Struthio camelus: one gene and its partner. The protein of the gene in region 2 binds, or shares a complex with, the protein of the main gene of each other region. Links are inferred from orthologs where the notes say so. Each region holds a gene or a part of one and is shown on either strand. Other genes may lie near its edges.

Region 1 (6,858 bases), on a different chromosome or scaffold from region 2:
CTGAAGAGCTCACTACTTCTAGCCACCAACAAACAGCAGGTAGCAATACGTAGGTTTTAGATATAATAGTAGATTCAATCATTTAGATTTTGGAAAGTAACATCTCTTCTATTTCTCAGCTAACAGCATGTATCTTATGTCAAATAGCAGGAGCGGAGAGATCAAGTGATCCAACCTGCTTCAAACGCCTCCGAAAGCTAGCTGCTACAGGCCTAACACGCCTCTGTGAAACCTACATTAAATTCACGTTCTTAGGAAATCATTAAGGTTGAGAGTTAGTCTTATGTTCCACAGATGTGACAAACTAGCCAGGAAAAATAAAGAAAAAGAAAGACAAAAAGACCACCACCTACAGAACCCTTTTCACCCATAGACCTTTATAGAAACAGTCACTGCCTTTACCTCTCTGCTGAGCGACATGCAAAGTCACTTGGCTAAAGTCCCCTAACACACTGACAACAGAACTTGAATGCGTGCTCGCATTTCCGAAGTCCTGCCCTTGCTTTCTGTTTAGCAGATCCAACAGTCCCATTTTTTTTACTGGGGAATGCCAGTTTTGGATACCCATATGGGGTTCATGGGTGTAAGCGCCTGATGCACACAAACACAACAAATGGCTTTCGGCTACTGGGCTCCATGTGATGCCAAAACAGCATTTCTTCCCAATGACAGAATAAGGCTAAATAGAGCTATTCTTTAAAATGGACAGCATGACCACCTTGCCTCATGCCTCATGAGACCAGGCGAGACCCACACACTGTATTTTGGGGGAACATAGCAACCGTAATAAAGCAAACTGGAAATGGGAAGCGCTACAAGAAATAATAAAAACAGCATCCTTACTTGCTGGTATCCACTTCTGACACTTCTCACAATAATAGGACATCTCCTCCATCCAAGATGCATCACCTTCGTCACTGTTCAGAGAGTCTCCGCTCTGATCATGCGATAAATCCACGGAGGCTTGATCCTCAGACTCGACAATCAGGAGCGTCTCCCCTTCCACCTCACCCTCCTCCAGGCCTTCGGAGGTCGACGTCCTTGTCGCTTCATCATCATGGCGACTCAGCAGCCCGCTCATGTGAACATTATTAGCCATCCTTTATCACATAAAGGAAGATGGTGCTTACTTTACAAGGAGCCCTTCCTCCTCACATTCACAAGACCATCCCCACTGCATGTGCCAGTCAAGTCTCCGCTCGTGAAAGTGCTGAAGATAGAGGCGCTATAGTTTTTTGAATTGTATTAGAATGTATGTGAAAGAAATGGTCTTTCACAGATTACCTCCGCTTACTTGTGGGCTGTCAGATAGCAAACCTGGCCAACTGCCTTCAGTCCACACTCTCAGGGGTCAGGACCGTGCCTAGGACTGCTGGGACCCTTTCTCCATTAGCGTCTTGTCTCTTTCTTCTTTGAGCTGCTTCGTCAAAGCGATCTGCTCTTCTAAAAGGCGAATATTTTGCTCTTTCTGACTCAGTCGCTCAAGGTCTCTGAGAACTCCTCTGTGCAGCCTCTGAAAATACAAGAGACAGGGTTCATCACAGCCTGCTTGATATTGAATACGACTAATCTCCACCTGGGCTCCAACCCCTCTGGCAGCGCTGTTAATCATATTACCTTTGCAAATCTTCAGTTCTCCGCTGCCTTCAGCCACAGCCACTTTGTTGTCTGAATCTAAAACTACAGTAGCTGACATCTGAGGCTGATAAGCTAATACTTGGTTTGTACTCACTTCAGATGGGTGCACTTACGACGTGGTAAAGCTACTGAGCAAAGAAGTGCTATGTATCAGTAACTCTGCCCTAAATCTTTATGGAAATTGAACGAATCTCTCCAAAACTTCTCTTCCGCTTGAAGAGAATTTTGTGGCAAATCAGAAACAATTTTGCCTTATTCTGCTTCTTTCTGCTTATATCTTACTCCTAAAAAAAACCTGGTAAGATGTTGCTAGAAGTCTGATAAAAGTCCCTAGCGTGCTTATGCCAAGCTCTTGAAATCAAGCAAGGCACTTAATTAAAAAAAATAACCTTTACCTAAAATGTTCGTTAAGAATGAAATGTGCAGAATCAATCAGCAGTTCTCAAACTGACCGGTAAGCCCCCAAAAGGGTTTGAAAAGCCCTAAGAAAATTCCAGCTAGCCTTTGTTTCCTCCTTACCCTTTCGTCTCTCTCTGCTCCTGGAAAGTTTTCTTTACTCCGGTAAGCAAGAGAAATGCTTAACCTTAATTTCTTACCAAGGGAAACGGGGAATGAAAAACAAGTGGTGGAACCAAAAGTGGTGACATGTATCAGGATGGGGAAAAGAAATGGGAGGCAGCAGACGGGAACCAGTTGCTGTGCTCCAGATGGGGACAGGTAAGACAGCAGCAGTACGTGAATGGAGAGGATGATGAGGTTAGACACAGGATGGAGAAGATGGCAAGACTGAAACTAGTTCTGGAAGAAAAGGTGACCCAAGCTGAGCATTTCATCTGCTCGAGCACTTTGTGCATGTGACAACACTTAGGCAGGGATCCTGCAGCGAACACTGCATAGACTGAACTCTGAAAGAAGTATAGAGAAGAACCGGCTTTGGTGGGCTCCAGGCACACACACAGACCCACTCCTGCAGTGCTTTTAAGACTTCGCGACCAGTCCTTTCCAGAGTCTGCCCTGCAAATTCAGAGCCTGGTCCTGAAAGCGGACCAGACTGCTTAACTGGAACTTCTACCAGTTCCTTATTATTATCTATATGAGCATCTGTGTGACAGTGGGGAGAAGAAAAAAGAAGTAAAACTGGCTACAGGCAGCTGGGATGGTGTTCCCCAGCCATTTAAACCAACCTAAGCCAGCCTTGCTCTAGTTTTTCCATTCCCGTGCTCTCCTCTGCACTCACAACAGTGCTCACCTGATCCCAGGGGTGAGCCAGCCCAGACAGATAAAACAGTAGAAAATAGCTCACTTTTTTCTTCTCCCCCTCCCCCCCCATAAAGAAGTCATACTCTGCTGACTGACCTCCCTGAACTGGCTCACCGCAAGGTAAGTGCCAGTGCAAAGGCAAACATAGCAACATGCCGACTCCCTTGCCTGTCTGTCTGTCTCGAACTCCTCGGGCAGGCGGTAGCTTTTAAATCTGTGGACGTTATACTCAATTTCAAAGCAGCAGTCATATGCTTATCAGAAGATATTGTGCACGAGGCGAGAGATATTGTAACTGAGGAGAGCAACACTCCAAACGATTGTAATAAGCCAGTAGTGGCTCACATCTAAATCAAGCCACATGAGCGCAGTCACGTTTTAGCACAACTAGAGACGGGAATCTAAGAAGTGCGATACCCCTGCCTGATTTACCAGCTGACACGCATAAATCTAAAACGTCCAGCTTGCAGTCAGCAACGAGAAAGATTCACACGTACTAAGGCTAGTCATTGGATACTGGAGTTAGGAATAAAGTATTTAGCCTAATGACGAAAAAGAGGAATAATTTATTTGATCTGTTTTACCGGTGCCAAAATGCACCTGCAAATAATTTGTTTGAAAACTGACCCTGAAGCTGTTTTAGAACATACTTGTAATTATTATTTGACAAATTCTCACGGGGTTTTCTTTTTCATCTAGAATACCAAAAAGTGTGTGTTTTTCTTCTGTTAAGATTAAAATAGGAATGCTTTGTTTAAGAAATGCTTTATCTTGTTAAAAATATACAGACACGTTTGTCAGCCAATAATCAAAACTCTCTCTGGAAATTAATCTAATAAAAGCAGTTCCTTCCCATCACCTTCAAAGCACTGAATTCAGGTTACAAATTACTAATTGCTAAAGACAAAGCTCATAAACTAAATACTTCATTAGTGCTATCTAATAACAACAAAGATGTGAAGAGATACTGTGTAACTGAACAATCAGGGCATCAGGCAGGTTAACCTTTTTCCTTCATAAAATACAGCTGTTCTGCAATCCTTCAGATGCTGAAAACGTTTCCTCCTAAAACGCACAGTTTGCAAAAGACACCTTTATAATTGTTACCTCATACATGACAAAGAGCTACAAAAAAGTTCTTCTCTCCTTTTTCTATACTCTAAGGTTAGGCCTGTTTGCTTTCTGAATCAATTTAGATAAATTTATGCAAGCTGAAATCAATCAGTTCCTGGAATATCAAATTATAAAAGCCAAAAGTCTGTTAATCTACGTAAAGATAAAACTGAAATAATCCCTACACCAGGTCTGAAGAATGTCCATGTTACTCATTTTCATTTCTTTATCTAAATAATTGGCTCCCTCAAACCTGAAGCCATTATTTCCCAACTTGAACATCAAGATCATAAAAATAAAATTTCAGATTTCATTTATAAAAGATAAGCTTTGGGCCCTATTAATACTAAGGTAAGCTTTGAGCCCTATTGATTCTGAATAGTGATTTAAAGTTTAACTGCGAGCTCAGAACGAAGAATCAAGTGATTGGGCTTTGCTGCAGCAGCAGCATCTTGAGTAATCCTAGTACTCCTGTAACAGAAACATGTAATCTGTGTCAAACTCAGCTTTTCGGGGAATCCTCCTCAATTCTAGAGAACTGTTTTGCTAACCCATCCCCCTAAGGACAGGTCAGCCACCTCTGAAGTCATACATCGGACATATATTTTGAGAGTAGAGCGGCTTCTCTGGGGGGAAAATAGTTCCCCGCATCCTCCCTTGCCCATGATATGGTAACTTTCTGGTAGCCCTGCAACCCCTTTCCCCTTCCCAGAGTTCGCAGAGGCTGTGTGAGGACGGATAGAAAATAACAGGTTGCATTTTGTGCGGAAAGGGACAAAATGCTCAGTGATCTGAAAAAAAAAAAATTGTATTTAAATTTTGGTTTAAAAAAAATGAGGACACCGGCTCTGTCACCCAGAAACTCCAAAAAGGTTTTTCCGCTGATCGGCGTTCCTTTGACCCCTCCATCTCTAGGAAACGCAGCAAAACTGTCTGTCAGCGGCTTAACAGCAGCGACGCTGATACCCTCCGCAGCAGTGACCGCTCCCAGCCACAGGGGTGAAGGCTGTCCATCCTTGTCCATAAGTTATCCGGCACTTGGAAAATGCAGGATTTCCTCAGGCAGAAGGTTGCAGAAGCGATCTCAGGTCGCCAGCAACCAAAGCTACTCAACGCTGTTGTGCAAACGAAGCAGACGTCAGCGGATTAGGAGAACCACTGCTGAACGAGGCTTTTCAAAGCTCTGAGAAGCTAGGCTGGGAAGGGAAGCTTTTTGTTCTGCTCGGAAGCCTGCTGGAGCAACTACAGCAGAGCAATGGGAACATCAGGCATAGGGCAGCAAGTCCCTATTTTCTTCCAGATAGTAAAAGAGATGCATAAACCAAGCTGGGGGCGCTAACCATACGAATTAATTTGCTGATCGACCACTGCTTTTTTCAGGGACACACTGGAAGAACGCCAAGCTTCCAAGTTAAAAGCTCAGAATCCCACACTCTGGAGTTGCTTCTGTGCCCTTAACTCACCCCCTTTTTTTTGCCCAGGAGTTACAGTCCAGTCTCTCCCATGCTGCTCTTGCCATGGGACTGCCATCTCGTTCAGTAATGGGAATGGATCCTGACCAGGTATTCAGTATTTAGTTTCACATCCCTTGTTCCTCCTGTTGCCTGAGGCATTATTTACTTTGAGATACACAGATCACGCTCTGATGGTGGTGTCACTCATTTCCTTATGGACTCTTTTATGTCCGTTACCTCCACAGTTTGTAAATATGAATTTGTTTTCAGAACCCCTCTATCAGACGAAGGAGTGATACTAATCAAGGAAAGATTAAGGTCAAAAACACCCCTTAATTTTAGATGTCTCACTAAAACATTAAGGAGAGACTTTTTTCAGAGCATTCAGTATCCTGCAGCACACCATGTGTTCAAAGTACAGCTCCCATTTATTTCAGCTGACACTCAGGAACGTTTAGTACATGTTCCTGCTAGACCCTTGGTGGCTGAAGGCATCCCATCCACCAATCACAGAATCACAGAAAGGTTGAGGCTGGAAGGGACCTCTGGAGATCATCTTGTCCCACCCCCCTGCTCAAGCAGAGTCCTCTAGAGCACGTTGCCCAGGATCGCGTCCAGGCAGGCTTTGAATATCTCCAGCAAAGGAGACTCCACCACCTCTCTGGGCAACCTGTTCCAAAGCTCTGTCACCCTCACAGTGAAGAAGTTTGTCCTCATGTTCAGATGGAACTTCCTGTGATTGTTTGTACCTGTCCTATTTGTTGCCCCTCACCCTGGGCACCATTGACGAGTCTGGCCCCATCCTCTTGACACCCTCCCTTCACATACTTGTACACGTTGATGAGATCCCCTCTCAATCTTCTCTTCTCCAGCCTGGACAGGCCCAGCTCTCGCAGCCTTTCTTCCTAGGAGAGATGCTCCAGTCCCCTCATCATCTTCGTAGCCCTCCACTGGACTCTCTCCAGGAGTACCATGTCTCTCTTGTACTGGGGAGCCCAGATCTGGACACAGTACTCTAGATGTGGCCTCCCCAGGGCTGAGGAGAGGGGCAGGATCACCTCCCTCCGCCTGCTGGCAACACTCTGCCTCATGCACCCCAGGAGACCATTGGCCTTCTTGGCCACATTGCTGGCTCATGGTCAACTTGTCCACCAGCACGCCCAGCTCCTTCTCTGCAGAGCTGCTTTCCAGCAGCTCAACCCCCAGCCTGTACTGGTGTGCATAGGATTATTCCTCCCTAGGTGCAGGACTCCGCATTTGCCTTTGTTGAACTCCAGGAGGTTCCTTTCCGCCCAACTCTCCAGCCTGTCCAGGTCCCTCGGAATGGCAGCACAGCCCTCTGGGGTATCAGCCACTCCCCCCAGTTTAGTGTTATCAGCAAACTTGCTGAGGG
Region 2 (7,218 bases):
CGGAATTCTTGTATTGAAAACTGGAGATCTTCCACGAGAAGAAGAACTCAATATGGAAGAATCACCTCAGCAAGAAGTTCACTTTGGGAAGGACAGCTCTCCAAGAGCCCTGAGACTTGGCCTGCTACCTATTAAGATCTTCTGAGGAGTTGCTTCAGAAGCAGGATAAAAATCTGTCTGCAGTCACTTGGATTCAACACCACAGAGGGTGGCAACTTCTGGCAGACAGGCAGGGCAGACAGCTGGGAGCGCTAACGCTGTTTTGCCATAGCTAGCTCCAACAGGGCTCTGCCGTCAGCGCCCTTAATTGACCTTAACCTGGCAGACAAGACCTGCCCAGCAGCATATTCAAACTGAAGTTCAGTCTCCTCAGACTCGCCCAGCTGTACACTGTCCTCCAGAACACCACCTGTGAAACCATTATCTGTCCCTCTCCAACTGGCAGCTCCAACACCCTGCTCTATTCCTGGATCTTGCTCAGATCCTGCAGCAGGCTCCATTTTTCTCATCTCCCTTTTCTTCAGCTCCTCCCCTCACGATTCTCTCCCACTGGCTGTGCTATGCCAAATATCACTCAGCCCACTCCCTGTCCCAGGGGCAAGAGACTCTAGTCTCACTTGCCCAGAGAAGATTCGAACCTGACCTAGGCACACAGCCAACAGGATGGTTCCCAAAGCACTTCTGACAGTGGCAAATGCATACCTGCTCATCCAGCCACAGCTTCTTTGTCCATCTTTCCTTCAGTCAGGTAGCTACTCCTCCTCCTTTGCACCCTTAAAAGCCCCATCCTTCTCGCTAACTTATCCCTTCTACATTACTTCGTTTCATTTTATCTGCTTTCTCTTGCAATTGTTTGTCTTGCTTTTTCCTAGAGCCAGCCTAGCCCCAGGGTCAGGGGGTTCTCTTCTCCCAAACTGTACTGCTACCAGCTGCTGCATCCCTCAAACGTAAGCTAACTGCCAGTCTTTCTACGGGCAGGTTTCAACTGCAAAATAAATGCAGAGGTAGGAGCATAACCCAGCACAGAAAACAGCTGGGAAGATACAGCTGCAAATACTTCAGCAAGCAACAAGAACCAAAGTACACGGTCAGGCACTCCCAGATGGCTTGTGCTCTAGTTGCTATCATGCGCTGAAGTCTGCGACCACATGCTTTACTGCTGTCATTACTGAAGCTCAGTTCAGCTAGCAGGTATGAATGGCTCCACCTATGACAATCACACCGTCATTTTGCTATACAGAGATATCGCTAGCTTCCTTGCCCTTTGTCCTTTTAGCTCCCGTCCAAGTCCTTTTCTGAACTGTTTGTAGAAAAATGCACAGAATCTGCTGAATCCGTGGCACTTCTAATTCCACACATGACAGTATCGCAACTCAGACGGTTCCTACCTGACTGTTCAGCTGCTTTGTGACGCTTATTGGGATGTGTGACTGCGATCTCCTCATAGTCGGGGTCCTTCTCCGCGATCACTCTCTTGATCCCAGACATGTTCTCTCAACTACTGCACCGAGAGGAAAAATAAAAGCAGTGACATTACCCACAGCAACTCTCCGGACAGAGTTCAAACTTTCTCCTGAAATGACAGGAGTCACAGCGAGAAGGCCTGCCTTGGACCTCGGGAACACCTCCTGGAACACCTCCTTCCCCAGCTGCTAGAGATCCATCCACAGCTGCAAAGCTCAGAGCTAGTCCCGCTATGTACAGTCCACAAGTTTACACTGCCTCCCGATCTTTGGTCTCCATAGCCCACCACAACCTGTGTGGGGAAAGGTATTGCGAAGATGGAGCGGCAAGGCAGAAAAATGAAGTGACCTTCACTGTCGCTGAACAGCCGCTCTGCAAACACACCTCGCCCCTCTCCTGGCAGGCACGTTTCTTTATGCAAGGTTAGCACGTACGACCGGAGAAGACCGCCAAGGCAGGTGTTGGTATTAGCAACTTCTCTTCCAATTTAGCCACCGTCCATTGACGCAAAAGTCACAACAGCCTGTTCCCCATCCTCAGCGATGCCTGCACGCGGATCTTAAGAGGATGTCCAGACTTGCTTGGCTCACCAATTTCAGTACATCGGGGGTGTTTTCTCAGGGGCGGCACCATCACCTCCAGCACGCAGCGCTTGGTCAGAGTCAGCGCGCTGACGGCCCGAACGAGCCGGGACGCGCACACACAGCGACACAAACACACCACGCTACCCGGGACAGGCGGGGGGCTCGCCGGCGAAGCTGCGCCAGCACACGGGTCACGTACAAGCGTGACCTCCCAGCTAGACCGCGGGGGAACCGCGCGGGACAACGTCCCCACGCCCGGCCGAGCCCCCTCTCCCCGACAGCTGCCCCGGCCCGGGGGGGGGGGGGAGGAGGGGGGAGGAGGGGGGTCGCCCACCCGCGCTCACGCGTCCCGCCGGCCACCGACACGCCTCGGCAAGGGGTGGCCCACGCAAGACGCCTCGCACGCCAACCGCCCCGCGCCGGGCCGGGGCGCGGGCGCAGCCGACGGCGGCCGCCGCCGCAGGGCGGACTCGGGAGGCCGCGGCCCACGACGCCCTCCTCACCTCCGCGGCGGCTCGCTGCTCCCGCCGCCGGGGCGCACGGCCAACCCCGGCCCGAGCCTCCGCAGGCGCTCGCGGCTCCCCCCAGGGCACCCTCCCTTCAGGCCGGGCGCTCGGCGCGGCCGCGGCTCCGGGGCGGCCGTTAGGGCCGTTGGCCGGGGCGCGGCAGTACGCGCGCGCGCCCGCTGCCCACGTGCGCGGCCGGCATTGTTCCCCTCCCCCCACGCCCAACCCGCCCGGCGCGCACGCGCGCGCGCACAAAGCGCCGCCGCCGCCGCCGCCCCGCGCGCTCCTCCCCCCCTCCCCCCCGCCCTCCCGCCGCCGCCGCCGCCGCTCACCCGCGCTCCGCTGAGGCGGCCGCCGCCGCCCCGCTCCCCGCCGCGCGCCGCTCAGCGCCCGCCGCCAGCCGCCGCCATGAGCGCAGGCCCCGGCCCTCGCTGCCCGTCAGCGCGAGGGGCGGGAGCCGCGCAGGCGGAGAGCGGCGGCGGGGCGGGGCGAGGCGCAGAGAAAGGGGGCGGAAAGGCTCCGCCGTCCTGCTCCCCCTGAGGCGCCGGAGGTACTGGCGCGGCCCCGCTATATTGGCCAGTAAGCAGTACAACTGGGGGAAGGCAGATTTTGACACAAAAGTAGGAACTGAAAGGCGCGTGGTTAGGAGAAGAAAAGAAAATAATAATAATAAAAGCACGCCAAGTGAGGCCCGGCGTGACTGAGAGCCCCGGGTAGTAAAAGCGCGCAAGAGAGGCGCAGCGGCGCTGCACGGCTTTGCCCCGAGGCGGCTGCCTGCCGGCGGCCCCCGAGGGGCTCGCTGCGCCCCCGCTCCCAAACGTCCTACCTTTACAGCTCATGGTGTTTCACAGCGTGTCAAATCACAGCTACAGTTGCCCCACTAAACTAATGGATTTAATGTCACTTTTTTTTTTTCTTAACCAGATCCTAACACCGCTGTCAGATGTCCTGAACAACAAGCAGCCCTTCGCTCCGCCGCCGTAGTCTCATGCTAAACTCATGCTGCTAAAGAGCATGAGATAACGGCCAACTCTTACATGTATTTTCTAACTTCTTATGAGGCCGCAAATTGTAAACAAGTGTATGCGTGCTCAATGTGCAGGGAGCCAACCTTAAAATCCCCCTTTTCTGGTTTCAGGACCACTGCTAGAAAGGCTTTCTGTCAGGCAACAAATACAATCCATTGAGATAGTTCTTGTACCCAAATTTGTATCATTTTCATCAGGAATATAATTTAGTTTTTTATTTATTTTCTTCCTTTTCTCTGCTTAATGGAGAGAGGAACAGAAATAGGTCCATTTTTAACATTTTAAGTATATTCAGACAGGATCCCATTCCTCAGTGTATTTCCATTGCATCGTAGTCTGAATTTCCTTTCATGTGAGATTACTTCTTTCAGGAACAGTAACATTGCACTCGGTCATAACTTATTCTTGGCACCACAGTAACAGCCCCTTGATTGCGGTCAATGATCCAGTTACATTGCCAAACTGCAGTCCAACTGTTGGCGTTAGTTTTATGTTTCATGTTATAAGGTATCTGAAAAATCTTTACATGCCTCAATGGTACATTTAGATTCGCTCATCTCTGTGGGGCTAGGTTCAAAACTCTTGAAGCTAGTGGAAGTACTTCAATTTTCTGCAGTTCAAGGCTTTAGCAGGCCCCTCTCTGCCAGTAGACAGATGAAGCAGTATCTTCATGTCGATTAAGTTGTATTAAAATGTGCCTGCCACCATTTCTAAAAAGTTATTTGTATTTTTTTTTTCCTCTACATCTCTCTGATACAGAGTATATCGAATATCAAGGCCCCAGGGCTTTGGTTTTATGTTGAAAGATACAGGACCCACAATCCAAAATACATCAAACAAGGAAAGGACTCACGAGTTAGACCTCAGTGGAACACAGGGAAAAAATCACAGTAGGAAGCTCTGTTTGACTCTGCCACAATGCCAAAAACAAAGGGTTTTAGGAAGAAGGCAAGACACACATCTAGGGTTACGTGAAGGACAAGCTCTGAGTTTGAAATCCACACTGTCCTATGAGGAAGAGGATGCCAGGAGTACAAGCTAGTATTCCACTAGAAAACAACTGAAAGATGAATGTGATCTGTAAAACTGTGGTATTGAATGAAATACAGTCATGTCAGTTCAAGTGCAAGAGAACCACCCTCTCCCTGTCCGAGCCCTGTATCGGCCGTTCTACAAGTGGCACCTCGAGATGGTCAAGGGAGAGCTAATCTGGGAAGAGTAAACTTCCTGCATGTCTCTTTCCAACCTATAGTGTTACTGGTCACCTTCCTACCATTATCCATTCCCTTATCCTGATTTCGCTTATTGCTTTTGCCCTCTGAGTCCGTTTGTATCCTTTCCAGATCCTGATTCCCAGAACTAAGCACTATTTTACATCCCATCTTGTCATTTCCCCCAGTTTCCTTGCTCTTTCCTTTTTCGCACAGCCTCTAGCTTGCCTGCACTACCTGTATTCATGTCAATAGTAAGTTACATGACAAAGGCATAAAGATGAGCTATGAAAGCATCCAGACTGGAAGACAGAAGAATGATGGGTTGATACAGACACTGCAAAGGTGCAGAATCCAGCAAATAAAAGACCTAGGAAGAACAGGAAAGAGCTTCCTCCTTGTACGACCAAACCCCTCCGTGGCATTTCTCATGACCTAAATAAAACACAGTAAACTATTCAAAAGGCAAATGTTTATTAGGTACATTGGATTTAAAAAAAAAAATCTTTCAAAGAATTATGCAAGAAATATATTTAAATATAACAAGTAAATGTTATTGCTTTTGTGCTACATTACAAAATCACTTTTCTACTGTCAGCACAATCTGAAGACCTTAATGTTACGTGTCAGATAGCATTGCATTGAGTCTGGCACACACTAAGTGGTCCGCAGTTTTTTGTTCAGCTTCGTTTGTGCTGTACCAGATTGCTCTTGAAGACAAGATTAAGCTCTTGTTCGAACCAAACCTTTTACGTTTCAGTAAATAAAGGAACTGGCAAGGAATACAATGAACCGCTGTTTTCCTTAGCAAAAAGAAAAATCAAAACATATTCCAGGTGAAAGGAAAGTATCATATGAATAATAGTTAAGTAGGTAACCTCTCTTTCCATGGCCAAGTAGTTCCTATTAATCTGACTCCAAATTGCTACAGGTGCACCGAAAGGAGAATGGCCCCACAGGTCCAGCATTTACACAAATGAAATTAATAATAATACATTTTATTCAAGTCTCTTGATTTTGCATATTGCCGTGCTACACCATATTATTGCTTCATCTTATTTATTTTAAACTCTACTGAGGACAGGCAAGTCAGAGCGTTCTGAAATGTGGTAGAGGCTATTGACTAAAACAAGAAACTACGTATGAAGGACAGGAAGTCAAAGACAAACTCCTTTGTCACTGAGGGAGTGCAGGAAATAGAAAACAGGAAAAAAAAATACTGATTTCTCCACAGTAAATCTGCCATAACATTGTAAAAAATCGAAGCATTGTAGGCATATTCTCAATAAAAGGTTTAACTGTTCTTTTAGTTAACGAATGGCAAGATTTACTTCTCTTAAAAGGACATCAGCAGTCTAGACAGTAAGACTGATCCTAATAAAGATAAACCAGAAGGAGCAATCCAAGCTCATTTTCACAATAGATAAAAATTATAAGTGAATTCAAGGCACAGGTATTTTCAACATTAACACATTATTTTCTTTGGAACTAATAATACAAAGTAAGTTGTAATTACATTATCAACATGCTGTACATAGGGACTTTTATGTGTATCATTTATAATAGAATTAGCATAAAATGATCACAAAGTTATTCACATGCACAGATGCGCAAACATGAGTGTAGATTGGAGCACTACAGTAGAAAAAAGGTTATGTAAATAGAGCTTTTGGATAATAACACTATCAAGGATATATACTTTGAGTCACTAATTTTATACATAAATGCATGTTATGAAAGACAGCTGATGCGAGGCCAGTGTGCCGAGAACTTATGTTCTGATTCACACAGCTGGTGTGGGGTGGGTAAGAGGCTGCCTACTGTTTTGTGGTAATGCTCACAGCACTGACACTGAGACGGATTTTTATCAATGCCACCTGAAATAAAACATTAAGGAAGCTTGTTTGCTGGACACATTTAAAAAAAAAAAAAAACTTTACTGTCTAGTCCTCAACCAGATAACAAACTTCTGCTTAAAAATCTCATCAACCTCATCACCTTGTGGACTTCCTTTTCAGTGTGTATTACTCAGATTTTTTAGTCCGGCACACCATTTAATGCACACTGTCCTGTGCGCGTGAGAGTCCACATTCAGAGGAAAACATCTTGCTTCAGAGTGATCAAGTCTAGTGAGGTTCTTAATCCTCTGGAATGGGCTTTTGCCATCTTCAGTGGCAGAGAAAACGAGATACATTCGTCCAGTCGGGCAATTACGAAAACTGAGCGTTTGCTTTTCCTGAGCATTGCCACTAGAAAACTTTGACAACATATGCTTCTTTATCTCTCAGACTGAAAGTAGCGAGTTGACAAACGTGAAATATTTTTTACCTATTGAGTTCCCTGTGACTGGAACTGCAAACTGTAGGAGCAACCAGACAGTCCTGTATTTCAGCAAGCCTAGCAAAATGCACAAACCCAAAAGCGC

The links.
Region 1: YEATS2 (region 2) and KAT14 share a complex: the UniProt entries of both Homo sapiens proteins name them as parts of the ADA2A-containing complex. The link is inferred for Struthio camelus from reciprocal best matches to the Homo sapiens genes YEATS2 and KAT14.

Annotation. Positions count from the first base shown.
Region 1 is NC_090944.1:146,949,617-146,956,474, forward strand, and holds the start of KAT14 (cysteine-rich protein 2-binding protein), read right to left. Parts: upstream 3,016-6,858; 5' UTR 1,618-3,015; intron 1,514-1,617; 5' UTR 1,100-1,513; coding exon 844-1,099; intron 1-843. UniProt on the Homo sapiens protein: Component of the ATAC complex, a complex with histone acetyltransferase activity on histones H3 and H4. May function as a scaffold for the ATAC complex to promote ATAC complex stability. Has also weak histone acetyltransferase activity toward histone H4.
Region 2 is NC_090950.1:7,909,983-7,917,200, reverse strand, and holds the start of YEATS2 (YEATS domain-containing protein 2), read right to left. Parts: upstream 3,004-7,218; 5' UTR 2,887-3,003; intron 2,710-2,886; exon of another isoform or gene 2,552-2,709; intron 1,502-2,551; 5' UTR 1,489-1,501; coding exon 1,389-1,488; intron 1-1,388. UniProt on the Homo sapiens protein: Chromatin reader component of the ATAC complex, a complex with histone acetyltransferase activity on histones H3 and H4. YEATS2 specifically recognizes and binds histone H3 crotonylated at 'Lys-27' (H3K27cr).